Oryctolagus cuniculus: one gene and its partners. The protein of the gene in region 7 binds, or shares a complex with, the protein of the main gene of each other region. Links are inferred from orthologs where the notes say so. Each region holds a gene or a part of one and is shown on either strand. Other genes may lie near its edges. The genes, in order: TCTN1, TMEM231, B9D2, MKS1, TMEM107, CEP290 and TMEM17.

Region 1 (3,500 bases), on a different chromosome or scaffold from region 7:
TTTGGGGAATGAACCAGCAGATGGAAGACCCCCACTCTCTCTGCCTCTTTGTAACTCTGCCTTTCAAATAAATAAATAAATCTTTTTTAGAAAAAAAAATAAGTGGAGCAGCCAGGACTTGAACCAGCGCCCACAGGGGATGCTGGCCTCACAGGAGGCAGCTTTACCTGCCCCAAGCAGAATGATTTTCAATAGACTCAAGCTGTAGTCCAAGTAGCCAGAAGAAAATTAACCTAATTGCAACAACCCATTCTTCAACAGTTTTTACAATATTAAAAATAGGTTTGATTTCCCAATGGTCAAAAAAAAAAAAGATCCTAACAGAATAAAACCCATTATACTTTTTTTTTAAAGATATATTTATTTACTTGAAAGTTAGTTACACAGATAGAGGTGAGGCAGAGAGAGAGAGAGAGAGAGAGAGAGAGATATCTTCCATCCACTGGTTCACTCCCCAAACGGCCACAACGGCCAGAGTTGCGCTGATCCAAAGCCAGGAGCTAGGCCAGGCTTTTTCCAGGTCTCCCACCTGGGTGCAGGGGCCCAAAGACTTAGCCCATCTTCCACTGCTTTCCCAGGTCATAGCAGAGACCTGGATCGGAAGAGTAGAAGTCAGGACTAGAACCGGTGCCCATATGGGATGCCGGCAATTCAGGCCAGGGCTTTAACCTGCTGCGCCACAGCGCCGGCCCCAACCCATTATACTTTTAAAAAGGATTCACTCAAGGCCAGGGGTGGCAGGCATTTGGGGCATTCCACTTGGCACATCTGCATCCCATATCAGAGCACCTGGGTCCAATCCAGCTTCCTGCTAACATGCACCTGGGGAGGCAAAGACGACAACTCAAGCACTTAGGTCCCTGCCACTCAAATGAGAGACCTGGATTGAGATCCTGGCTCCTGCCTTCAGCCTGGCCCAGCCCTGGCTGTTGTGGGCCTTTGGGGAGTCAACCAATAGATGCAAGATCTTTCTCCACCTTTCAAATACAATGAGAAACACATTTAAAAATTTATAAAGGGTTCAATCAGCCAAGTATAAATTGCTAAAACTATCAAGTTAAATTAAATTAGCTTTCTCTGAATAATGAATTGATCCTACCCTGAATAAATCTTTTCCAAGTGTTGGTTGTTTTTTGTTTTGTTAATATTTATTTATTTGAGGGCTGGCGCCGCGGCTCACTAGGCTAATCCTCCACCTAGCGGCGCCGGCACACCGGGTTTTAGTCCCGGTCGGGGCGCCGGATTCTGTCCCGGTTGCCCCTCTTCCAGGCCAGCTCTCTGCTGTGGCCCGGGAAGGCAGTGGAGGATGGCCCAAGTGCTTGGGCTCCTGCACCCACATGGGAGACCCAGAAGAAGCTTGGAGCTCCTGGCTTTGGCCTGACCCAGACCTGGCCATTGCAGCCATATGGGGAGTAAACCAGCAGATGGAAGGTCTCTCTGTGTGTCTCTCCCTCTCTTTGTAACTCTGCCTTTCAAATAATTAAAATAAATCTTTTTAAAAAAAGGTATAAACTACAATTGTCAGCCTGTATTACACACGAGACTAATTCACTAATATGAAAAAGTCAAACTGGAGTATGACTACCTCCAAACACTGAGAGATCTCATCATACTCCTTAGATTTCACTCTCTTTTTTGCCTGTACTCTCTGGCTGGATGCAAATAAGAGAAAGCTACTCATTTACATCTTGCTTTGGACAACACAGCTTCTGAATGGTGAAAACTATAGGAAATCAGGTTTGGGTTTTCCAGTCTGGGGAAGTTTTCACTTTCCCCAAATTTTATTTTCCTGGTCAAATCTTGTCAAACCTGCACGTGTCATAGACTTACGTGACAACTGGAACTGAACAGGCAGAAAAGACGCTAACATCCGTGGAGCTGCAGTCGGGATCACAGCAGCAGTTGACGTCACACTGTGCTGGGGACAGGTCACACACACACAGAGCAGCGACTGCAGGGAGAAGGGCAGGGGTCACAGCAGCACAGTCAGCAGGAGGTGACTGCCCCCGCCACCACCACACACCAGCGTCACCAGAAGAACCGCTTCTCTGCACTGTGGGGTGGGGTGGGCAGCAGGCGGTCAGGCGGAGCACCCCACAGCGGCTGACCAGGACTCACCCAGGGAGTTCTGCTTGTGCTCCACCTGATGTGGTAAGTGAATATGCAACCCAAACATAAGTAATTTTCAAAACAGGCCGAAGAGGGGCCGGTGCTTTGGCGCAGCGGGTAAAGCCCTGGCCTGAAGCACCAGCATCCCATATGGGCACTGGTGCTAGTCCCAGCTGCTTCTCTTCCGATCCAGCTCTCTGCTAGGGCCTGGGAAAGCAGCAGAAGGTGGCCCAAGAGCTTGGGCCCCTGCACCTGCGTGGGAGACCGGGAAGAAGCTCCTGGCTCCTGGCTTCGGATCAGCGCAGCTCTGGTCGTTGCGGCCATCTGGAGAGTGAGCCAATGGATGGAAGACCTCTCTGTCTGTCTCTACCACTCTCTGTAACTGTGTCTTTCAACTAAATAAAATAAATCTTAAAAAAAAAAAAAAAAAGAAAAAGAAAAAGAAAAGAAAAGCAGGCCAAAGAGCCAGCACACGTGAAACCCCTGCCTGCTCACAAGAGCCAGCAGTTCACAATCACAGGCTCCTAAGCCTCTGCTCTGGACACAATTTGGGGGACCACCTAACGCCCGCACGGAGAGAGTGTTTTCAGTGGTGCCTCACTGTTCACTTACGTCTGCAACTCTGAAGTCGAACTCACACTCACAGGCTTTTAGGCAAGCAGCAAACCTGCTCAAGTGCTGGAATATCTTTGGTAATTCAGACAATAATGCATGAGCGAGGGGTACCAACTTTTTTTTTAAAGGATTTATTTATTTATTTGAAAGTCAGAGAGAGATGACAGGAGAGGAGAGACAGAGAGTGTGTGTATGTGGAGAGAGAGAGTGGGGGAGAGAAAAAGTGAGAGAGAGAGAGGTCTTCCATCCACTGGCTCACTCCCCAACTGGCCAATCCAAACCCAGGAGCCAGAAACTTCTTCCAGGTCTCCCATGCGAGTGCAGGGGCCCAAGGACTTGGGCCATCTTCCACTGCTATCCCAGGCCACAGCAGAGAGCTGGATCAGAAGCAGAGCAGCCGGGACTCAAACTCGCACCCATATGGGATGCCAGCACTGCAGGCAGCGGCTTTACCCACTATGCCACAGCGCCGGCCCCCGAGGGGTAGCAGCTTTTAAGTGACAATGATAACCTGGACTTTCAGTGCCGAGTTTCATCCTGTCAAACACCTTAACAATTCAGCAGACGGGACCGATGCTCGGCACGCTTACTAGGATGCTGCCTGGGCCGCAGGAGCGCCTGGCTTCAAGTCCCGCTCTGCTTCCCAGTCCAGCTTCCAGCCAGCGTGCACCCTGGGAGGCAGCAGGCGATGCCTCAGATGGTTGGGTCCCTACCACCGCATGGGAGACTCAGACTGAGTTCCTGGCTTCTTCCCAGCCAGCTCCTGGCGTTTGCGG
Region 2 (4,106 bases), on a different chromosome or scaffold from region 7:
GGTGCTGGTTCGAGTCCCAGTTGCTCCACTTCCAATCCAGCTCTCTGCGGTGGCCTGGGAAAGCAGTAGAAGATGGCCCAAGTCCTTGGGCCCCTGCACCTGTGTGGCAGACCTGGCAGAAGCTCCTGGCTCCTGGCTTTGGACTGGTGCAGCTCTCACTGTCGTGCCCAATTGAGGAAGGAACCAGCGATGGAAGACCTCTCTCTCTCTCTGCCTTTCCTTTTCTCTCTGTGTAACTCTGACTTTCAAATAAATAAATAAATCTAAAAAAAAAAAAAAAAAAAAGAATTAAGAACCAGGGCTAGCATTGTGGCGCACTGGCTGTAGGGGGTAGGGGAAGAAAATATTCCATTCGAGGCCGGCGCCGCGGCTCACTAGGCTAATCCTCCGCCTAGCGGCGCCGGCACACCGGGTTCTAGTCCCGGTCGGGGCGCCGGATTCTGTCCCGGTTGCCCCTCTTCCAGGCCAGCCCTCTGCTGTGGCCAGGGAGTGCAGTGGAGGATGGCCCAGGTGCTTGGGCCCTGCACCCCATGGGAGACCAGGAGAAGCACCTGGCTCCTGGCTCCTGCCATCGGATCAGCGCGGTGTGCCGGCCGCAGCGCGCCGGCCGCGGCGGCCATTGGAGGGTGAACCAACGGCAAAGGAAGACCTTTCTCTCTGTCTCTCTCTCTCACTGTCCACTCTGCCTGTCAAAAAAAAAAAAAAAAAAAAAAATTCCATTCGGTGGTACACTCCCCAAATGGCACGATGGCCAGGGCTCGGACATGCTGAAGCCAGGAACCAGAAGCTTATTCCAGGTCTCCCACATGGATACAGGGCCGCAAGCACCGGGCCATCCTCCACTGCTTTCCCAGGCACATTAGCAGGGAGCTGGATCGGAAGTGGGGCAGCCAGGATTCGAACCAGTGACCATATGGAATGCCAGGGCTTTAACCCGCTGTACCACAGTGCCAGCCCCAAAATTACCCAGTATGAAAGTGATCTCATGGTATGGGTACCATAAACATTAAGAGTTAGTTTTGGCTTCTCATTAAAATTGGAACTGCACGCCAGATGCAAGGGGGGACCAGGGCGGTGCACTGAAGGGAGTGGTTGGTTTCTGGTTGCAGAGCTAAGAGGCCAACAGCAGCTGTGTTGCACGAACCCGTAAAAACAATGAATGAATGAAACTTAATGGTTTATCCTTGTCTTCACAATTATCTCAAGCCTGCATGGTATTTCTTAGACTCAAATGACCAGAAGCACATGATAGAGAGGAATATAAACATGTGGAGAAAAAACCTGGGGCTAGTGCTGTGGCACAGTGGGTTTGACCTCTGCCTGCAGCGCCAGCATCCCCTATGGGCACCGGTTCAAGTCTTGGCGGCTCCACTTCCAATCCTGCTTCCTGCCACTGTTCCTGGGAAAGCAGCAGAAGACGGCCCAAGTACCTGGGCCCCTGACACCGACGTGGGAAACTGGGTACTTTCCTAATTAAAATAAGTCAATAGGGGCTGGCACTGTGGCGCAGCGGGTTAACGCCCTGGCCTGAAGCACCGGTATCCCTTATGGGTGCAGGTTTGAGACTCGGCTGCTCCACTTCCGATCCAGCTCTCTGCTGTGGCCTGGGAAAGCAGTAGAAGATGGTCCAAGTGCTTGGGCCCCTGCACCCACTTGGGAGACCTGGAAGAACCTCCTGGCTCCTGGCTTTGGATCGGTGCAGCTCTGGCCGTTGCGGCCAACTGGGGAGTGAACCATCAGGAAGACCTCTCTCTCTCTCGCTTTGCCTCTCCTTTCTCTGTGCAACTCTCATTTTCAAATACATAATAAATCTTAAAAAAAAAAAAAAGCCAATAAATTTCAGAAGTAACCAGAGAAAAACTATCTGTAACAAACTTTCTAGTTATTCATACGACCTATCATCTTTTTGCTGGGAACATTTTTTACACGAGTTTGTCTTGTAGGCCACTCACCTCAAGGACGTGGAAGAAGGAAAACTAGAAGTTTCGGCCCTCTTAAAGAAAAAGTCTCAATTTTACCCCGGACAGATGCACGCTGGAGCAGCCTCTGAGATCACGTGGGGCAGGCTCCCTCCGCCGGGGCCCTGCCGGGGAACAGGTGCGGGGCGCCCGGTCTCCGAGGGTCAGTCCTGCCCGGAGACGCCCGCCCCCGACCCCCAGCTTCCGCCGCGCCGCGTGAACGCGGCGACACCGCGGGACCCCGAGCGCGCACCGTGCCCGGCCCGGGTCAGCACGCAGCGCTGCCCGGGTACCTGGGCGTCTGGGGGAAGCGGAATTCCAGGCGGGAGCCACGCACCGAGACGAGCGGGACGCGCAGGCGATCCCCCTGCAGCCGGTTGAAGGCGGGGAAGGTGCTCCAGGCCAGGAAGCCGTCGCGCTCCGGTCCCAGCAGGGCCACGAGCAGTACCTGGTGTTGGAAGCGCACGGTCGGCTGCTCCTCGTAGCTGCTCCGCTTCAGCCAAAACCCTGAGAGAAGAAGGGCGTGAGAGGGAGAGGGGGACAGGTCAGGCAGGCCGTCCCGAGCGGAGGCGGTGGCGCGCACCGGCCTAGCAAGCTCACCGTGGCTCCGGAAGGCCACCAGCAGCGGCGGGATGTAGGTGAGCGCGGCGGCCAGGAGCAGGAACAGCGCTGCCTTGGAGCAGAGCCCCGCGCGGTAGCCGCGCTCGGCCGGGTGGGAGTAGAGCTGGTACAGCGCCATGGACGGCGCACGCCGAGACCCCTACGCAAACCGAGAAGGGACGACCAAGTTTGGCTGTTCCCGGCTGCCATCGTCGTGGTCTCCACGGCAACCGGCGGCGCCGGGAGGAGGACCAATAGTAGCGGCGCGGGCCTCTAGAAGGGGCGGAGCTACCTGGAGAGGGGCGTGGTCAGCCAGTGGACGGGCCACCGAGAGGGGGGCGTTGCGTGTTTTGCTTCGGGACGGCTGAGGACGGCTGAGTGGTCCACGCTGATGCCCGCAGGTCGCACACGCGTGGCCTCGCTCCTCGACCTGGTCCTGGACGAAGGCCAAGGCCGGGTTGCTCCGCCTCTGTGTTCTGTGGCTCCGGAAGCAGGACAGCGCACAGGACCCAAACCCTCGGCTCTGGGGCGGGCAGGGTCATTACTACGTACATTGTTACCTGTATTGGGTGCAGGTTCGGCTGCCGGTTTCAGAGGGAGCTACTAAACAAGATACATTTCTTTTTAAAAATATTTATTTGAAAGAGTGACAGAGGGAGGCAGAGATCTTTCAACTGCTGGTTCGCTCCCCCAAATGGCCCGAGGAGCCAGGAACTCCCTCTGGGTTTCCCACTTAAGGGCAGGGGCCTGAATATCTGGGCCATCATCATCTGCCTCCCAGGATGCCCGAGCAGGAAGCTGGAGTGGAAGCCGACCAGCTGGGACTTGGCACTCCCCTCTGGGACGTGTTGTGCAGTGGGTTAAGCCTTTTTTTTTTTTTTTTAAGGTTTAATAATTTATTTGAAAGAGTTACAGGGAGAAGGGGAGAGAGATCGTCCATCCGCTGGTTCACTCCCCAAATGGCCGCAGCAGCCAGGACTGGGCCAGGCCAAAAACAGGAGCCAGGAGCTTCAACTGGGTCTCCCACTGGGGTGCAGGGGCCCAAGCACTTGGCCCCTCCTCTGCTGCTCTCCCAGGTGGAAAGTGGATTGGAAGTGGAGCAGCCAGGACTCAGTTGGCACCCACAAGGGATGCTGGCCCTGCAGATGGTGGCTTAACCCGCTGCACCACAGTGCTGCCCCAGTGGGTTAAGTCGTACTTCCCAAAGATAACATTGGTTTATTGCTAATTGATTGCCCACCGCCTTCTCTGCCAAGCCAGTATTTTGAACAGGGTGGAAGGATTTTTAAAACCTATGATCCAAAAGAAAGGAAAAGAAAAAAAAAAGTAAGCAAACAACAAAAAAAAAGAAAAATAAATAATAAAACCAATGGTCCACAGCCAAGTTCTCCATCCAAAGGCCCTGAAGACTCCAGTTGCAGGATCAGGAGTCAGTGTGGGGGCCGGTGCTGTGGTGTAGTGGGTAAAGCCACCGCCTGCAGGGCCAGCACCCCATATGGGTGCCAGTTCGATTTCTGACTGTCTGCTTCGGTTCCAGCTCTCTGCTAT
Region 3 (4,071 bases), on a different chromosome or scaffold from region 7:
GGGAACACAACCCATGTCTCCTACGTAAGCGGGAGGAACCCAGTCACTTAGGCCATCCCTGCTGCCTGCCAGGGCTGGCATTAGCAGGGAGCTAAGCCAGCAGCCAGGTGTGCGGCGGGATGTGCAGGTCCTAACCCCGAGCTAAACACCCGCCCTCTATAGCCATTGCCTCTCTCTCTCCCCAGCACTGTCGCCACTGGAAATCACTGAGTTAAGTTTCTTCAGCGGCTTATATAGTGTCTGACGCTCGTAGAATGAGCTTCAGGAGAGCTTGGCCCATGCACATGGCGGGATCCCCAGTGCGTGGTATACAGAAGGTGGTCGATACATATTTTTTGGGACAATTAAGTGACCCTAGAAGCTATGTGTGCTATGATTACCATTTTCCAAGTACAGAAACAGGCTCTGAGAAGGAAGTCACTTGGTTAATTATTCCATGAACATTTATTGAGCACCTAGGGTATGCCAAGCCTGTTCTCCACTCTGGGGATACAGCAGTGACCACAGCACCCAAAGATCCCCAAGCGCAGAAGTCTGTAAAATGTCCAACTGCAGCGACCAGGCCCCTCGGCCACTGTCTCTGAGCTCCCTGCTGGATTCAATGCCCCAAAGCCACCTGCGATAATAAAAGCCAAGCATGACTCCCTCTGGCCTTGGTGAGGGAAGCCCTGAGTCAGGCTGCGTAGACACAAGATTACTTAAACAGCCCCAAGAAAAGGACAGCAGCCCGGGATCACAGAGCAGGTGAGTGCTGGGGTCCCGGGTAGACATGGAGTCTGACTCCTGAGCCCGACTCTGATCCTGCGACTTCACCCATCCAAGTCAGGTCCAAGGGACCCAAGCCCGAGACGCAGCCACGTCTACCTCATAGGTTGTTACTGGGGCTGGGCAGCCACGTGCCTGGGCTTCACTAATGGGACCCTGTCGGAGTCACCCGCGAGCCAGGCACACAGCACCAGCCAGCCCTGCTCTGCGTGCTGCGCATGCTCCCCTAGGCCTGGCAAAGATCCGCGAGGCACACGTTGTTACTGCTCCCATGTGCACACAAGGAAGCAGACGCACAAACAAGGCCCTAACGTCACCTATTAATAAGAGGCTGTCTACGGTGCCAGCTTCCCACATGGGCCCCATTTGAGCCCCAGCTGCTCCACTTCCGATCCAGCTCTCTACTATGGCCTGGGAAAGCAGGAGAAGATGGCCCAAGTGCTTGGGCCCCTGCACCCACGTGGGAGACCCAACAACTCCTGGTTCCAAATTCGCTCAGCTCTGGCCGTTGCAGCCATTTGAGGGATGAACCAGCGAATGGAAGACTCTCTCTCTCTCTCTCTCTCTCTCTCTGCCTCAGCCTCTGTAACTCTGCCTTTCAAATAGATAAATAAACCTTAAAAAACATAAACACCTGGTTAGGACCCAGGCAGTCTGTGCTCCTAACCTCGACGCCACACCGCCTCTCAGCTGCTATCCACACCGTGCCGTTCCTCTCAGACAAGGAGACCGAGGGCTGGAGAGGTCAAGTCCAGAGGCCACAGATACATACATGGGGACTTAGTATCTGAACCCAGATGTGGCTGCCTATGACCCTGGCCATCACACTGCACCTCTACAAGGTCTGGCCTCCATGCAGACCTACAGAAACACTGGGTCTCCAAGTCCCTGCTGGGCCGTGTGGACTTGGATGATTGCTGCCTTCTCAGAGCGAAAGGCATTCTGACGACAGGATGTGGCCTCTCCTCTGTAAGTCTGGGGTGCAAACTTCTACTTTACAGTAAGAACTCAATAAATGGAGGCTGCTAGTCAAAGAACGAGAAAGCTGGGGAGGATCCCAGGACACACCCCCAAGGCAGCAAGTGGAGTTAACAGGAGCGCTCTGACATGAAGCGTGTGGATGGGGTCTCCCCCTAGCCCATCATCGTCAATGGCCATGCATGCCGAGGGTGGGAGCCAGGGTCCCCGGAGACGGGGCAGGAAGGAAGTGCGGGCCTCACGCGGCCAGCCTTGGCCAGGGCCGGGAGTGCTGAAAGCCCATGGGGAGAGGAGGACCCGGGGTGGGGCGGAGGGTCCAGGGAGAGCGCGGGGTCTTGGTGGGCAGTGACCAGGCCTGGGGGGAATACCTGTGTGGATGCCCCACTTGCAGAAGAGGCTACTTTCCGAGAACCCGGTGGCCCCCATGATCTGCCCGATCACGTGCACCTCAGCCATGGCGCTGGGAGGGAAAAGAAACAATCAGCTCTGAGTAGGGAAACTGAGGCCCAAGCAAGGGGCAGAAGGCCACCAACCTGGTTTTGTCAACCCTCTGAGGATGCAGAGTTATCCACCGACTCTGTCTCCCCGGGAGATGGGGGGAGTAGCCCTAGACTTGGGAACCGGTGCCTAACTATGCCCTCCTTAAACCTCTTCCTGACCTGGCTAAGTCCCGCTAAGGGGCCGAGAGCTCCACCCACAGCCATCAAAGCTCCGCCTCCCCGCGGCTGATAGCCCCGCCACAGGCTCGACGACGCATGCGTATTGAATCGAGGCCCGCCTCCGAACACCTCGGCCCCGCCCCTACTCGTTGCGCATGCGTCACTCCTACCTCACAGAGCTTAACGGCTAGTGGGAGCGAATGCGGCAGCCGGATGCTGGTTCTGGGCCGACTCCGTCCTCTTCGCGGGCGCCAGCGACGCCGGCCTCGCGCCTCCCGTGGGACCTCCCTGACAGCAAGGGCGCTAAGGCGCGAACCTCCGCGACCGCCCTCGCCTCAGGCTCCCTGGCCGTTGCTGGGACAACAGCAGGCTCCTCCCCTGGCCTTGCCCCCGCCCTGCACGCGGCCGATTGGTGCTCGCTGTCCTCGGGGGCGGGGCAATGCCGTGATGGACATCTCTCCGTAGCCTCTCCCAAGCCCCGGCCCCGGGATCCGCCGTTGGGGGCGTGGTCGGGCAGTTGCCATCTTGAGTGTGGCCGGGAAGTTTGAGCGCCGACTGTTTGTGCTGCAGAGCCTCTCCAGGAAATGTGTCAAAATAAGCTTCGCGGCCCGCCTCCTCCCCCTAAAGAACACCTGTCTCCCGTCCTGAACCCCACATGAGAGACTTGAGCCTGAGCTCGGGGGAATTCCCTCGGGTCATTCTGTGCATCCCCCGGCCTCGACTTCGGAAACAACCTCTTCTCAGACACTCAGAGGCTGGGGCGGGGCTTCCCTTCCCTTGCGGAGTTCCCCAGGCTGCTCAAGGCCCAGCGGTCCGGGCCCTCCCAGCGACTGCACGTTCGCCGCCAGTGCTGTGAGCGAGCGGCGTCCCCGGGCCCAGCGGTCCGGGCCGTGGGGCGGGTGCACGCGGGCGCCTGAGGTCCTGAGCGCCTCTCCCCGCCTCCGCGTCCAGGGCAGCCTGGTCCTCAGGACCGGGAGTCCCGCCCAGCCGCGCCTCCTACCGCGGGGGCTGCACACGTGGAGGACCGGGGAGGCAGCAAGGTGCACAGGACAGCATGCACACAGGTAGCGCCATCCGAGAAAGAAGGTTCCTGACAGACAGCTGGGAACGCCACGGTCGTGCGTGCCTGCTCCGTGCAGCCCTGGTAACGAGGACTGCAGGGCGTCAGGTCCTGGTCCTCGCGGACACACGGGGTGGGGTACACAGGGCTTCTGCTTCATGAAGACTTGAGGCCAGCGTCATTTGCATCTATTCCCGTTTGTCCCCCATCAGGGTGAATGACAGCACCCAGCTTGTGGGATTGTTCCAGACTGAAGGAGTCACCGTCTATGGATGTCTTCAATAGGCCCGCAGGGGCCGGCTTGGTGGCGCCTGCACCTCAGAGCGCCCGCTGAGTCCCAGATTCCTGGGGTGCGTCTGAGCAGACAGCAGGCAGTGGACTCAGGAGCTTGGAGGGCGGAATGCAGCACGCGCTCCTGGCTTTGAATTGGTCCAGGCCCTGATGTTGCCCCCTCTGAGGAGGTAACCAGCAAATGGCAGATTTCCTTTTTCATTCTCTTCTCTCTCACCTGGCACTCTGCCTTTTAAATTAATACTTAATAAAAAAAAAATCAAACTACCTGCTGGCACTTTGGTGCAGTGGGTTAAAGCCAGGGCCTGCAGCGCCGGC
Region 4 (4,016 bases), on a different chromosome or scaffold from region 7:
TTAAGCCCTTGGCCTTCACTAACTTCATCTGTTAAATGGGAATAAGGGGCCGGTGCTGTGGCATAGCGGGTAAAGCAGTTACCTGCAGTGCCAGCATCCCGCTTGGGCACTGGTTCTAGTCCCGGCTGTTCCACTTCTGATCCAGCTCTCTACTGTGGCCTGGGATAGCAGTAGAAGATGGCCCAAGTCCTTGGGCCCCTGCACCCGCGTAGGAGACCTGGAAGAAGCTCCTGGCTCTGGGCTTCAGATCAGCAGCTCCAGCCATTGCGGCCAACTGGGCAGTGAACCAGTGGATGGAAGACCTCTCTGTCTCTCTGCCTCTCCTTTTCTCTGTGTGTAACTCTGACTTTCAAGTAAATAAATAAATCTTTTAAAAAAATAAATGGGGATAAAAATGGACTTAGGGTTTCCATGAGGATTGGGAACAATGCCAACAAAGTTCCCAGGCTAAATTAGCTCCTACCTAAATGGTGCTATTTATGGAGAGTCCTTGGCAAGGCACAAACAGCAGCTATGGCACCCCAGGTGTTCAAGGCCATGCAATCAAACTGATTCCTGAATTCAGGGGACAACTGCTAACCCTGTTGGGGAAGTAGCAGATGTTAAAGGGAGCCAGCTGAGGTTAGGGCATGTCCTGAATGTCACTCTGTGGGCTTCTCAGAGGGCCAGGGCAGCACAGCAGTTAGTTTAATAATCTGGAACTAACACACAGGGGAGGAACCTGTGCCATGACTACATCTCTTCTTTCCTGCTGCTGTCTTCCTTGTTTTAACTGTTGGCCCTCCCTGTTTTTTCCTTCTCTGGCCCAGAGAATACCAACACAACGACTAATAAGTAGGACACCCGCACCCCCCCTCCCCCGCCCCTTGAAGAATGTGCGTTCGTGTCTGGGGAGTGCCACCACCTTCCCTGATTCCTTTGGGATTAATGGGTGCATTCTTTCAGTCTCCTCCGCCCGTTTTTCTTGCGTTCAGCGGAAGACAGTACGGCACAGTGGGAAAACAGGTCTAGTCTCATCACCCTGCATTTACGCCAAGTGGGCTGACGGCTGTGCCTGGCCCCTCATTTGTACAGCGCCTTAAGTCCCGCCTCAGGAGTGAGTGATCCTCGTTCGCACAAATGGTAAAGCGGACATTCGCAGGCTCCTGCACTGCCCGCTCTGGGGCGCTAGGGGGCGACGCCGCGGCGGGAAGGGCGGGTTGCGTGCGTAGCGTCTCCGCCCCAGCGTCTGCGTTGCCAGGGGAACTGGGGGCGGTGTGCTTTCCGGCGCAGTCGTTGCGCGTCGCAGATATCATGGCGGAGACCGTCTGGAGTACTGACACCGGGGAAGCAGTGTATCGCTCCCGGGACCCTGTGCGCAACCTGCGCCTCCGGTAGTCGCGCCGCCCCAGCCCGGGGTGCTATGCTTTTATGCCCTTCGAGCCTGAACTTGTCGTTCTTCTGAGGCCCCCACTTGCGCTTACAATCCCGATCTTCCTCCCTGGTCTCTCTACATCGCTCTGCATTCCCCAGATCTTCTGTACGTAGGGCTTCCAAGCTCGCCTTCCACACCCAGCCAGGTCGTTTCAAGGCCTGTCGCTCTCCGATTCCTCAAGCCCTGGCTCCGCAGTAGTCCTCTCACCCTCTCTTCCCCGTAGGGCCCACGCCCCACCCGGCGCCTGCCCTGTGTTTTGTATTTCCCATGCTTGCTCTGCGTTGTGTGTGTTGTAACGCGTATTCGAGCTTCTGTTTTCTTCACAGAGTCCACCTGCAAAGAATCACCTCAGGCAGCTTTCTTCATTACCAGCCTGCGGCCCAGCCTCGGAAGGACCTCATAGACTTGGCCACCTTCAGGCCTCATCCCACTGCCAGTGGGTGTCACGGTGGAGTCGCAGCCCCCTGGGGACCTGGGCGAGGGAGGGCCTGGGGGGTAGAGGTTCCCGTTAGGACAGAAGAGACCCAGGCCTGTGGTGTTCAGAGAAAGCTGCACCTTTTTTTTTTTTTTTTTTTTTTAAGTATTTTTATTTCTTTGAAAGACAGAGTTACAAAGAGAGGTAGAGACAGAGAGAGGTCTTCCATCTGCTGGTTCACTTCCCAAATGACCACAATGGCCAGAGCTGAGCTGATCCAAAGCCAGGAGCCAGGAACTTCTTCCAGGTCTCCCATGCGGGTGCAGAGGCCCAAGGACTTGGGCCATCTTCTACTGCTTTCCCAGGCCATAGCAGAGAGCTGTGATTGGAAGAGGAGCAGCCGGGACACGAACCGGCACCCATTTGGGATGCCGGCACTGCAGGCTGGGGCTTTAACCCACTGTGCCACAGCGCCGGCCCCAACTGCACCTTTCTTACCTAGGAGAAATGGAAGGCAAAGAGATTGTGTTGCTTGCCTAAGGTCACATAGTTGGAGCCTGCACTTGAACCAAGGTGGTGTTAACTACTTCATCGTGTTATTTGTGGAAATTGAATAAGATACGATTCCTGCTATCAAGATACTGAGGCAAATTGTGGTCCAGTATAGTGGCAAAAGACAGATAGCGTATATCTGATGTTATAAATGGGCCTGGCAACCGTACCATTTATGGCTTTTTGTTCGTTTGTCTAAGAAAGATATGCTCAAACTCTACATATGCATGTAAATACTTTTAAAAACAATTTTACGATTGAAGACTGCTTGCAGACTGTGCGTTTGAACACCCACAGTGTTCTTGTGGTTCTCCTTATCTGGGAAGCCATAGGTGTGAGGAACAGAGGCTGGTGCTTGTATTGGGCCATTAGTGTTTCTGCCTTTTGTTTCTCTGCACTCAGAAGTATTCCTCTGTGAAATGGGGGTTTTGAAGCTGTGTCTCTGAAAAAGATACTCACCCCTGGAGTGTGTTAGATCTGGTTCTTTAACAAATCATTTATTTGCCTTCCCTGCCCTCTCCTGACACTTGGTCTCTGACATGATTGTGATTCTAGCTGTATGGCTTCAGGAACAATTAAAATGAAAATGCCAGGGTTCTTACCTAGCAAATGCAGGCAGCTGGCATTGAAGAAGAGCTGGCTGGTCAACCTATATCCTAGGCTCAGTTCCTGACAATGAGTTAAATTGACTACTTCCTGGAAGGCAGAACTACATTTTATTCAAATTAGAATAGTGATTAAGACTTTGTGGGTTTTAATCTTGGCTTCAACTCCTGCTAACTCCAGTGTATCCTTTGTCTACATTGAATGCTTAATAAATCACTGAACTCCTGCTGGTTTTGTGGCAAACATAAGAGTAGGGGCTTTGGTTACAATCAACCTCAGAGCAAGAAATGGTGGTGACGTAACTCTGTTGTCTTTGCAGGTGGACATCGCCCAGAGGAAGATGAAGATGAGGAGGTGGTCATTGGGTGGCAGCAGAAGCTCTTTAGCCAGGTGAGCCGGTGTCGTTCACTGCGTGGTCTCCCTCCACCTGGCTGGTTGTACATTGCCAAAGTGATTTCTGGGATGGTCGTAGCAATTTGTACCTCCCTCTGTTGTGTTTACAAGGGCAGTGTAATATAGTGACCGCCACCGCTCAGTGTTATGACCCTGGGTGAGGCACGTTTCCCCACCGTGGACCCTACGCCACCTATAACAATGCGGTTGGACTAGAGCTTCACCCCTTTGCTCTCTAACATTCTTGGGTCCCCTGCCCTCCATTGGTTTAAATCTATGAGAATTAATTATGGAGCTATGTCAGATAATATCAGCTCTCTAGGACTGATTTGGTAGTAGTTCTAGGATCAGAATTTTGAGGTATCTCGGATGTCTGTTTCCTTGTGGCGACCTCAGTTTGAAGTAGATCTGTACCAGAATGAAGCAGCCTGTCAGAGCCCTTTGGATTACCAGTACCGGCAAGAGATCCTGAAGCTGGAGCAGTCGGGGGGCAGGAAGAACCGACGAATCTTTACCTACACCGACTCTGACCGCTACACCAATTTGGAGGAGGTATTGTTCTTCCCAAGGCCCTGTAGCTTCCTTCTTTGCCTCCCCTGGCTTTTTGGCTTCACTGGGTTCTGGGTGCTAAATCGG
Region 5 (3,962 bases), on a different chromosome or scaffold from region 7:
GGCAGGCCAGTGGTGGAGCTCCCAGGCCTTGTGCGACGGCGGGAGTCAGCAGCCCTGCCTTCTGATTTTAACAGGCCCACGTGTAGCGGCCTGCGCTGAGCCTGCACTGCCGAGACCCCAGGCTACCCTCACCCCACATGGAGGGGCCAGCCTGCACCCCCGAGGGGAGGTCAGAGCAGGCCCCCATGGACCCCACAGGAATGCGGACAGCGACTTGATCCTCTCTGCTGGAATCACTCTCCACCAGGAGGCCCGCAACTGGAGAGTCAAGCGCCTCCCTCAATCCTTGGCTCTTTTACCCCCTCCTAGAGGATAGTGGGGTGTGTGTGTGTGTGTGTGTGTGTCTGCCTCCGCCTCACCCCCATTTACCTCCAGGGCCCGGTGCACAGCGGCATCCACAACTGTTTGAGGATTGTGTCAAATCCCTGCACTGCCTAAGCAGAGGCGGGGCTCCTGGGGGGAAGGGGGTCGCTGAAGGGAGTCGCGCTGGAAACGGGTCGTGGGGGCAGAAAGGATACAGATGAGGCTCTGGGTGCTGTTGAACATGGACACTCCTGAGAGGAAGCCGGCCAGCTCCACGGCAAAGAGGCCCAGGGTGACCGAGAGGGCGGCCACCAGCCTGCAGAGAGGAAGGGGAGCGGCTCAGGACCCCCGGCCTCCGGGACTCCCACCGCCTCTTCCTTCGAACCCCCACCCCCCCAAGAGCTCACTGCACGTCCTGCTTCTCATACTCCTCGGGGGTGAATCGGAGGGGCAGGCAGGCCTGGACGTTGCTGTCCTGGGGAGCGGGCAGAAAAGGAAAGGAAGTGAGAGAGGCCGGCTGAGACCCCGGGCGGGGTGGGCGCGGCGACCACGGCGAGATGGCGACGCGGAGTGGCGGCCGTGGGTCTTACCCGCGACCAGAATAAGGTGATGACGACCACCAGATGCGCCAGCAGCGTCAGGAAGCGGGAGGGCACGAGCCCCGAGATCCGGCTCATGCTCCTCAGGGCCGCGGGCGGCGGCGCTGGGAAACCTCTCCCGGCCCGCGGCCTTCGCGCGCCTCAGGGGCCGCCCCGTTGCCTTGGTAACTGCGTACGCGGACCGTGCGCCTCGGGTTCTGAAGATCTCGCGAGAGCCGTAAATTCTCGAGCCGCCGTCGTGCAAGTGCGCCGTGTTCGGGGACCCCGCTGCGGCCGCCAGCCTCCTAACCGGAGGACTACGTCCGGGGGTTCGCTGGCTGCTCAGGTCCGGAGCGGCGCGGCCCCAGGCTGCATTGCCGGGAATGGCCTGTCCGCGGAGGAGGTGCTCGCGGACTGCTGCGGCCGGCGTGCCGGTCTTAGGTTGGAGGCTCAGACGCGGTCTTCCCTTTCCGTCCTCGTAGCTTCCTTGTGCCCTGAGCCCAACGTGGAACGTTCACTGGACCTACCTTGTCCGGCAGGCCCGTTGTCACGGAGCCCTTGGTGGTCGGAGCACCCCAGACATCTTTGCCGGGTTCGGTGAGGGATTTGCATAGTGCAGAAGATGGTGGCAGCCTCAGCCTAGGGACGGCCCCGCCGGGACTGGACAGGGCGAGCGTGGACGAAGCGTCCCGCACAGGAGGTTTGGAGCTGCCTGGGACGCAAGGCTCAGCTCTGGTTCCGGGGTCTCCGAGGTACCGGCCGCACGGGCTCCAGGAAGACCCCTGCTGCTTGCGCACACCCAAGGGGCTTCCCTCCCCGCTTCTGAGGAGAGTAACCCCAGCCTTCAAGTCAGCCTGCACTGCAAAGCCTAGTGGTAGGCAGCCCAAAAGGAGGTGGAGCGTGGTCGCGGCAGGCCTTGCAGCCACCAGGCGCGACGTGGTCAGATTCGTATTCTCCACGACCCAGGTTGCAATATGGAGAGACTAACGAGGAAGCCATAGAAGTATCCAGAAAGGACAGGGTGAAGCAAAGACGATGGAGCAAAGCAGAAGGATTGGGGAGAGGGTCTGGCTCGGGGCCTGTGGGTGGGTGAGGAAAAGGGAGAGTCAAGGTGACCCAAGGATTTTGCGTTCAACAGCTGGAGGTTTGGAGCATTCTGCTCAGTAGGCGTTCTGCCTAGGAGACGGGCTAGACAGTACAAACCGAGTTCTCAGGTCCTTAGGTGTGGACTCATGAACAGGGAGTGGGCAGCCTATGTCTGCTTTGTCCTTGTCCACAACCTTGGTTTATAGAAACTTGCCTCAGAGAAAGTCGTTTCTTGCCTGGGTTTTAGAGCCTGCTGGTGGCCATGGGCTGTGCTGCGGGTGACCAGCTGTCCTCCCGTAGGTGGCCACTCACTCCAGGGCTGGATTCGGTATCTCAGCATTTGAATTGGTGACAAAAGAACTTGCAAACTTTTCATTTTTTGGCATCCTAGGAAATTTCAAACACAACGTAAAAATGAAACAGTATAACAAACCCCTGGGAGGGCCACTGCTCTGCCTCAACAGTTGTCAGCACGTGGTCAGCTTTGTTGCCCCCTCCCCTCCACCACAACCCCACACGTGTGCATTGGGGTACAAATAAAGTCCACTTGGCTGACATGTCTGAAATCTCTGTTAATCTTGGGTTTGCCCTCCTCCCCATCACCTCACCTTCCTTCTTTTCTTGCTGAAGATACTGGGCCACGTGTGGCGTCATTTCATTCTCTCCTGGCACTGTGTTTCCTGCAAACTGATGGTCAGGTCTAATGGTTGATCTATGTGTCATTCAGTTTTCTGGTAAGATCACATCCCGAGGGATGGTTTGTACTTTCTGTTCACCTCATCAGGAATCCTGCTTGTCTGTGTGTCTGTCTGTCTGTGGTGCTGAAGTCTGAGTGGTGGCTTCGGGTGCGGTCAGGCTGAGCCACCCGTGATAAAATTCTTCATCCATTCTCACCTAATGGTACCACGGGTCCTCATTGCCTAACTGCATGATTTCAATAGCGATTGCAAAATGGGGATGGCCTAATTCGAGCCCTCTTCTGCATCTACCAGCTAGAATTCTTTTATCAGTAAGAATTTTCCATGAGATACGAGTCATACAGGAAAGGCAGGATAAATGGGTCCTTTTTTTTTTTTTCCATTATTTGCCAGTTTTCAGAATCCCGGTTCAGTAGTGTCCTACAAACACAACTAGATCTTTTTAGTAGCATGGTGACCACATAGATTTTAACATCTTTTGTGTATTTCAATCTACCTTTTTTTTTTTTTATAACTAAAGAACATTTATTTTCCACTAAGAGTTTGCCTTGAGGATGTAACTAAACTGAGCCACCCCCCACCCCATCTCTAAGGGTTAGTACAGTGACTGTTATAAAGCAGATCTCAACAGTCTGAAGCTCTGGAACCAACATTAACTGACAAAAAAATTCCATCTAAATCCTCATAAAAATGTTTAAGTAAAAAAAAAAAAAAAGGGAAGAAAAAGAAAAGAAAAAAGGGGCAATGGGGGTTTCAGATTGAACAACATTCTCACACTTCATCTGATACATTCAATCTGGCTAGAGTGTACCAAGTGGAAACAGGATCACTATAATACAAAACTCCCACTACAGCACGCTGTACACACCTGTGTTCCAAGCCCACCCCCATCCCCCTACTGCTTCCACTCCATTATTTTCCCGCCTGTTGGGCCTGCCGGCGGAGGAGCACATAGATCTTCTCTTTGATCCAGTCTTTGTTATAAGGCTGGTATGTCTGGGTATCAGCCCGGTAAACAAGGCAGCTGAGGTCTGCCAGATCATCAATAAAATCAAACAACTGACTGATATCGTATGTGATAGACGGACTGTTGGGATTCATTCTTTTCAGATGTTCCTCATACATTTTACAAATACCTTCCATGCATTCATTCACAGATTCATAGTCAGCATAAGTTCTGCCTTCTGGCCTCTTGGTAGGCTGTACCAGCAAAATGGTATGAGACATCGCGCCAAACTCTTCTCTTTGCAGCCGCTGCCGACACCGCCGCCGCACACGAGCTTCTCATTCTACCTTT
Region 6 (3,500 bases), on a different chromosome or scaffold from region 7:
TTCCCTCTCTCTCTCTCTGTTCCTGTCTCCATCTCTCTTTGTAACTCTGCCTTTAAAATAAAATAAGCAAATTTTTAAAAAAATATTTTCTGGGACTGACATTGTGGTACAGCAGATTAAGCCACTGCTGAGGGAACTGGCAGTGCTGGTTGAGTCCCAACTGCTTTCCTTCTGATCCAGCTCCCTGTGTAATGAGCCTGGGAAAACAACAGAAGATGCCTTACCAAGCACACAGGAGACCAGGATATAGTTCCTGGCTCCTGGCTTCAGCCTGATCCATTCCCAGCTATTGCTGCTGTTTGGGGAGTGAACCGATGGATGGAAGATCTCTATCTCTATTTCTCCTTCTCTCTGTGTTACTCTGCCTTTCCAATAAATAAATAAATAAATCTTAAAAAAAAGAAAACATTAAAAAAATTTCCTAAATTTGCACATGAATTTTGTATTTATATCTGATGAATGACATTACCACACTTAGCTGCTGGAGTGTAAGTGGAAATTTAGCCTTTGTTTTGGATGACCATGTATCCTATCAAACATCCATACCTCTGTTATAATGGAAAAAAGGGACATTGAATATTACAACTGCTATCTTCCACAATGATCAATCCTCATAAAACAGTGTTCCACAACCTTCTATCATCCATACCCTTTCAGCTAAGACAGTTTTACTGAGCTTTGCTTTTTAGTTAATTTTCTTAATAAAACCAAAACAAACTTTCATGTTACAAATATAAAATTATAACATTAAGGATGCTTTGTTAGTAGTATAATACTGAGGAGTTATTTAAAAGAATGAATAGTCAACTAAATTAATAAATGATGTTTGTTTTACCCTGTAGGTGCTTCTACCCTTTCTCAACAGACTCATTATATGAAAATTCAGTCAAAGCTACAAATTTTAGAAGAGAAAACTAAAGAGGCTGAGAGAACAGCTGAGCTGGCTGAGGCTGATGCTAGGGAAAAGGATAAAGAATTAGTTGAGGCTCTGAAGCGGTTAAAAGATTATGAATCGGTATGTATTTTTATCTTGTCAATCAAGGAGCTTAGAATTATTCTTGCTGCGCACAGTTTGGTGCCATTTACTGCATACCATTTAAGAAACATTACATAAGCGTCTTTTAATAAGGGTTATCCTAATTAATTTGATAAAAGAGTTTGCCCAGATCATCAGCTTTGGTGAGGCAGTAGGATTAGATTCTTTGTTATCTGTGTCCGTTGTGCCACCATGTAGATGTGACATCACTTGCTATTTTGACAAAATTTATGAGACGGACAGTTTTGTTGCCTGCCATGTCAACATGAGCTGCTTTGTATTTTTTATATTTATTGATCTGATTATCAATGAAATAAGGAAGCTATTGATTTACATATTCTGTTAGTATTGTTAATGTGATTTTTTCCCAGTATTTTGTTAAGAGTTTTATATAGAACATTCTGAATCACTTTGCCATTAGCACGTTGTACTTGGAAGTTCCAGCTGTTCTATATGCCTTCATTATTATTACTGGATTTATAAAGCACCCCCCAAAAAAACCGTGTAGTGATATAAATCATAGATATTGTACATTTCTCATTAGACTTACTAATAAATTCACAAATTTGGTACATTTATTCAAATTATGCTTTATATTAGTTTGGATATTTTTCAGGGTGTATATGGTTTAGAAGATGCAGTTGTTGAGATAAAGAATTGTAAAAACCAAATTAAAATAAGAGATCAAGAGATTGAAGAATTGACAAAGGAAATCAATAAACTTGAATTGAAGATCAATGATTTCCTGGATGAAAATGAGGCACTTAGAGAGCGTATGGGTAAGCTTTTTTTTAAGATACATAGTTTTCTCAACTCTTTCAAGTCTTTTTTGGTTTGCTTTTTGCTTATTATTATTTTCAAATTGTTGATTTTTTTTCCAAGTATATATTTCTAGAAAAACATTTAAAATGAATGAAATGGAGCCTCTCTGATTGAAATGGGATTGGGGATTTCATGGGGTAGGTATGATAGGTGGGCAGATAAATAATTTTTTTATTCAGTCTAATATCTCCTCAGTAATTACTGCTTAGTTAAGAATGAAAGTCAGTTGTATTAATACAATATATCAGAAGTTAGCATTTTTTCAACAAAAGTAGGGATTGTATGACCCATGTTAGTCTGCAGAATGTTATTGTTTCAGATGAATTATGAGAACCTTGAGAAGTACTATATAAACCTTTTAAGACTTTTAAAGACTTTTACGGATTTTAGGATGCTTTAAGTTTTATTTTAGTTAAGTACGAGGTTTCAATTCACTAGGAAGTAATTCATAATTATGGCATGAAAGTTTACATATTAATTTCATAAAATTCATCAGTGAATGTTAAATTACTGCAGCCCAATCTAAGTTGCTTCTTTAAAAAAATAAAAATCTAAATATTAAATTTATTATACCTGCTAAATATCAGTTAATGCTTTCTTAGAGTTATATTGACCATTTATAAAAACTTTTCTGTGAAGGAAGGAAAGGAAAATATTTTATATATAGATTATTTGTGGAAAGTATCTAATTAGAACCCAGATTTATATTAGGACCCCAAGTTAGACTTCTCATCAACTTGACCTATCAGATCATAGCCAGGAATCTGGCAGTTCTTAAAGATGACTTCTGAAAAGTAGCTGTCACAAACGCCAGAAATCTGTTTTTTAAAGTCTCCAAGTCTTGGTTTATAACTATATTTATTAGACCATTTTAATATATATTTTTTAGAGTATAGATGCATAGTGATAGCAAGTTAGGAGATGAGCACACTAAAAAACTAATAATGATAATAAAATTGATATTAAAATTAATACTTATTGCTATGTGCAAGGCAATATACTGAACAATATTTGAAATAATTTCATTCCCCTGATAACAAGCCAAAAAATAAATACAGTATTATGCTTACAACTTAGGTACTAGTTAAAAATAGGAATTAAGCCACCCAACTCTGATTTGTTCCTAAGCTTCTCTTCTGTAATACATTATAGAATCTCTGTAACAGCATGACATGGAGAAAAAAGATCCCGATATGTTCTTGTCAGGAATTCCATTAATAATTATAGTAATATATTAACTTGGGTTATACTTCAAATCTTAAAAATTCTTGCACACAAAAAATACTGTCTGTGTTCTTCAGTCTTAATGGCTGGATGAATGATAACCAGTTGCTTAGTGGTATATGACATTTTTGTATTTCATTTGAAAGTTTTTAAGCTTTTAATTGTGTTGCTTTCTATTTTAGGCCTTGAATCAAAAACAATGATTGATTTAACCGAATTTAGAAACAGCAAGCGATTGAAACAGCAGCAATACAGAGCTGAAAACCAGATTCTTTTGAAAGAGGCAAGTGTTGTGTTTGACTGTGTTCTTGGTTGAATTAAAGAGAAATACTAATGATTCATACTTCACAGATTGAAAGTCTAGAGGAAGAACGACTTGATTTGAAAAGAAAAATTCGTCAAATGGCTCAAGAAAGAG
Region 7 (2,664 bases):
CGCACTTGGGAAGGCAGTGGATGATGGCCCATGTGCTTAGGCCCTTGTCACCCATGTGGGAAACCCAGATGGAATTCCTGGCTCCTAATTTTTGTCTGCCCCAGCCCTAGCTATTGAAACCATTTGAGGAGACATCCATCCAGTGGATGGAAGATCAATCTCTCTCTCTCTATCTCTTCCTCCTTCACTCTGCCTTTCAAATACATAATAAATCTTAAAAAAAAAAAATGAAGAGTGTGGTTCCTTTGGCCATCTTAGTTCTTGCTATATATATAAACAGACTGGTTTCCAAATAAAACTTCATGTTAATTTAATGGATATGAAGTAGTTCTTCAGTGAATATGATGAGTACATGAGAACACAAAATTAAATTTAATGTGCCTATTAGAGTGCTCATTACAAAGAAGGTTCTCTGAAATCTTTCCCCTTCCTTCTCCTGCATTTCTGTAGTGTGAAATAATAAACCCATAGTCCAAAAGATCTATATAAAACAGGAATTGTTTGTTGCTGATAGCTTACCATAAATATTTGATAATTTATTATGAAAACATTTTGCATACTGCCACACAAATACTGAACATGGTTTTATGAAAGTTATAATTCTTTGACAAAAATATTTCCTTAATACCATGATAATCTGTTTTCTTCTTTACATCAGTATACCTTCTAAGACTAGGGTTAGAAGTTAACCACAGCAAATACAAAAATTTTGTTTTTTGGTTTATAAATATGGTCTGATGCACAATAATATTGACCAGCATTTCCATGCACTTCAAGAAAAATGGTCTGATACACAGTCAAGATATGGATAACTGACACATTTAAAAGGTACACATTTCTGGTTACAGATCTGAAATGGAAATGTTACAGTAAAACTGGTAAACTTACAACTACCACGCAGAATTTTTCACACTCAAAAAGACCAACATCATCAAACAACAAAGAAATTTGGCATTAGGTGGACAGCATCTAAGTTTCAGTGTTCATACGCCGCTTTCATGCATGGCACAGCCTTATCACTGCCCCTGTCCTTGGGACTCAGAGCTTGAGAGTAAACACACTTCCCTTGTACCTTTCCTCATGCTAGGTCTCTGATGTTTTCCTAACTCTCGCAGTCTTCTAGAATCAACTTTGAGATTTTCATTCAGCAGCACTGGGTCAAATCTCTTCTATACATGACCTCATCCTTCTCATGTCTCCTCTGTTTGCAGAGAGCCGGTCAAAGTCTTGGAGGTGGAAACGAGTGGCCAACTGATTGACCATTTTCCTCAAGGTAAGAAATGCTGAAACAACTTGGAAAGTAAGGAAGATGGTGAAGATGATATGTATTGCTTTTTCCAAGGGCAGATTTGTTAGGCCTTCATTAAAAAGCAAGAAAAGAATTAAAGGCAACTGCAGCAGAAGGCTCAAAAGCCAAAAGCCAGCCAACTCAGGAACCTGCAATGACATGATGAGGAAAAGGATCAGGCCAATGCAGTGTTTTGCTTACACAGATAAACAAGGATTTAACACTACTAAGGATCTACATTATGGACTCTGAATAATTCAAAAGGAGGGTGATGTAGTCCTTCTCCTCAGAGAACCTACAGTATAGATCAGAAAACTAGCTTATATGAAACAGTCCTAGAATGCTAAAAACTTCATTGAATATTTAACTGCAGAATTTAGAGATATTGGACTAAGTGGTACAAGTAGTAACACAGTGATTGGTGTAAGTGAAAGAAAAACTATAAGGATGTAGGCTTTATTTATTCAAAAACTACTTATTTATTTTATTTGAGAAAAAGAGTTTGTGTTTGCTGGTTCACCCTCCAGATACTGGCAGGTCTGGACCAGGTGGAAGCCAAGAGCCAGGAATTCAATTCAGGTTCCCATGTGGTGGCAGGGACCTGCCCACCGTCTCCCAGGGTGAACATTAGCAGGAAGGTGAAATGAGGAGCACAGCCAGAACTCAAACTCAGGCACTCAGATACGGGATGTGAGTGGTTCAGCTGGTGTTGTGACTACTAGGCCAAATGCCTGCCCTGAGGATATAAACTTTGGAAGTTGTGCAAAAGGAGGAAGAGGCAAGAAGGTAAGTAAGCAAGCATGTGAAAGGAGCATGACTGGGAACCAACACATCAACCTGGAATGGAAGGCTGGGCTAAGAAATACCAAGCAAAACACTAAGATGGGCTGGGTGGAGCATCGTTATGAAAGGCCTAGAAAACCACAACCTCTTCAGGCATCCTTCCCACACCCTGGCAACCATAAATGCTTAGGCAGCGTAACGACTCAGAAAACACGGGCCTGGCTGAGGAAATTCGTTTATAACTCCCCTTTCTCTCCTGATTTCTCATTCAGGATCCAAATTAACATGGTCAATTGACCAAATATCTTTGAGACTGATAAGGAGAGAAGAACATTATCAATTCTTCAGTGCTTACTATATTCAGGGACTTGATATCAGTCATTTCACTTAATCCCAACAAGCCCGTGAAGTGTATTTTCCCCATCTTAAAGATGATGAAACCGGGGCTCAAGAGATTAAGCAAAGAGACCACGATAGCAGATGAGCAAAGCTGGAGCCAGGGACTAAATTCAGGCTTATGTCTTTCCACCACACCTCACTGCCTTTAACCTGTTATGAAAACCTTGATGCACTTTGATGCGGTGCTGAGAGAA

The links.
Region 1: TMEM17 (region 7) and TCTN1 share a complex: the UniProt entries of both Homo sapiens proteins name them as parts of the tectonic-like complex. The link is inferred for Oryctolagus cuniculus from reciprocal best matches to the Homo sapiens genes TMEM17 and TCTN1.
Region 2: TMEM17 (region 7) and TMEM231 share a complex: the UniProt entries of both Homo sapiens proteins name them as parts of the tectonic-like complex. The link is inferred for Oryctolagus cuniculus from reciprocal best matches to the Homo sapiens genes TMEM17 and TMEM231.
Region 3: TMEM17 (region 7) and B9D2 share a complex: the UniProt entries of both Homo sapiens proteins name them as parts of the tectonic-like complex. The link is inferred for Oryctolagus cuniculus from reciprocal best matches to the Homo sapiens genes TMEM17 and B9D2.
Region 4: TMEM17 (region 7) and MKS1 share a complex: the UniProt entries of both Homo sapiens proteins name them as parts of the tectonic-like complex. The link is inferred for Oryctolagus cuniculus from reciprocal best matches to the Homo sapiens genes TMEM17 and MKS1.
Region 5: TMEM17 (region 7) and TMEM107 share a complex: the UniProt entries of both Homo sapiens proteins name them as parts of the tectonic-like complex. The link is inferred for Oryctolagus cuniculus from reciprocal best matches to the Homo sapiens genes TMEM17 and TMEM107.
Region 6: TMEM17 (region 7) and CEP290 share a complex: the UniProt entries of both Homo sapiens proteins name them as parts of the tectonic-like complex. The link is inferred for Oryctolagus cuniculus from reciprocal best matches to the Homo sapiens genes TMEM17 and CEP290.

Annotation. Positions count from the first base shown.
Region 1 is NC_091452.1:8,276,571-8,280,070, reverse strand, and holds part of TCTN1 (tectonic-1), read right to left. Parts: intron 1,952-3,500; coding exon 1,831-1,951; intron 1-1,830. UniProt on the Homo sapiens protein: Component of the tectonic-like complex, a complex localized at the transition zone of primary cilia and acting as a barrier that prevents diffusion of transmembrane proteins between the cilia and plasma membranes.
Region 2 is NC_091449.1:57,934,800-57,938,905, forward strand, and holds the start of TMEM231 (transmembrane protein 231), read right to left. Parts: upstream 2,801-4,106; 5' UTR 2,698-2,800; coding exon 2,559-2,697; intron 2,466-2,558; coding exon 2,296-2,465; intron 1-2,295. UniProt on the Homo sapiens protein: Transmembrane component of the tectonic-like complex, a complex localized at the transition zone of primary cilia and acting as a barrier that prevents diffusion of transmembrane proteins between the cilia and plasma membranes.
Region 3 is NC_091449.1:13,268,852-13,272,922, reverse strand, and holds the start of B9D2 (B9 domain-containing protein 2), read right to left. Parts: upstream 2,801-4,071; 5' UTR 2,573-2,800; intron 2,499-2,572; exon of another isoform or gene 2,277-2,498; intron 2,204-2,276; 5' UTR 2,200-2,203; coding exon 2,112-2,199; intron 1-2,111. UniProt on the Homo sapiens protein: Component of the tectonic-like complex, a complex localized at the transition zone of primary cilia and acting as a barrier that prevents diffusion of transmembrane proteins between the cilia and plasma membranes.
Region 4 is NC_091448.1:33,643,763-33,647,778, reverse strand, and holds the start of MKS1 (tectonic-like complex member MKS1), read left to right. Parts: upstream 1-1,216; 5' UTR 1,217-1,293; coding exon 1,294-1,373; intron 1,374-1,740; coding exon 1,741-1,850; intron 1,851-3,306; coding exon 3,307-3,377; intron 3,378-3,776; coding exon 3,777-3,932; intron 3,933-4,016. UniProt on the Homo sapiens protein: Component of the tectonic-like complex, a complex localized at the transition zone of primary cilia and acting as a barrier that prevents diffusion of transmembrane proteins between the cilia and plasma membranes.
Region 5 is NC_091448.1:52,667,230-52,671,191, forward strand, and holds the start of TMEM107 (transmembrane protein 107), read right to left. Parts: upstream 2,801-3,962; 5' UTR 2,576-2,800; intron 2,355-2,575; 5' UTR 981-2,354; coding exon 894-980; intron 779-893; coding exon 716-778; coding exon of another isoform or gene 711-715; intron 620-710; coding exon 519-619; intron 1-518. UniProt on the Homo sapiens protein: Plays a role in cilia formation and embryonic patterning. Requires for normal Sonic hedgehog (Shh) signaling in the neural tube and acts in combination with GLI2 and GLI3 to pattern ventral and intermediate neuronal cell types.
Region 6 is NC_091442.1:90,786,509-90,790,008, reverse strand, and holds part of CEP290 (centrosomal protein of 290 kDa), read left to right. Parts: intron 1-842; coding exon 843-1,015; intron 1,016-1,652; coding exon 1,653-1,815; intron 1,816-3,264; coding exon 3,265-3,365; intron 3,366-3,433; coding exon 3,434-3,500. UniProt on the Homo sapiens protein: Involved in early and late steps in cilia formation. Its association with CCP110 is required for inhibition of primary cilia formation by CCP110.
Region 7 is NC_091433.1:140,426,351-140,429,014, reverse strand, and holds the end of TMEM17 (transmembrane protein 17), read right to left. Parts: intron 1,438-2,664; coding exon 1,159-1,437; 3' UTR 501-1,158; downstream 1-500. UniProt on the Homo sapiens protein: Transmembrane component of the tectonic-like complex, a complex localized at the transition zone of primary cilia and acting as a barrier that prevents diffusion of transmembrane proteins between the cilia and plasma membranes.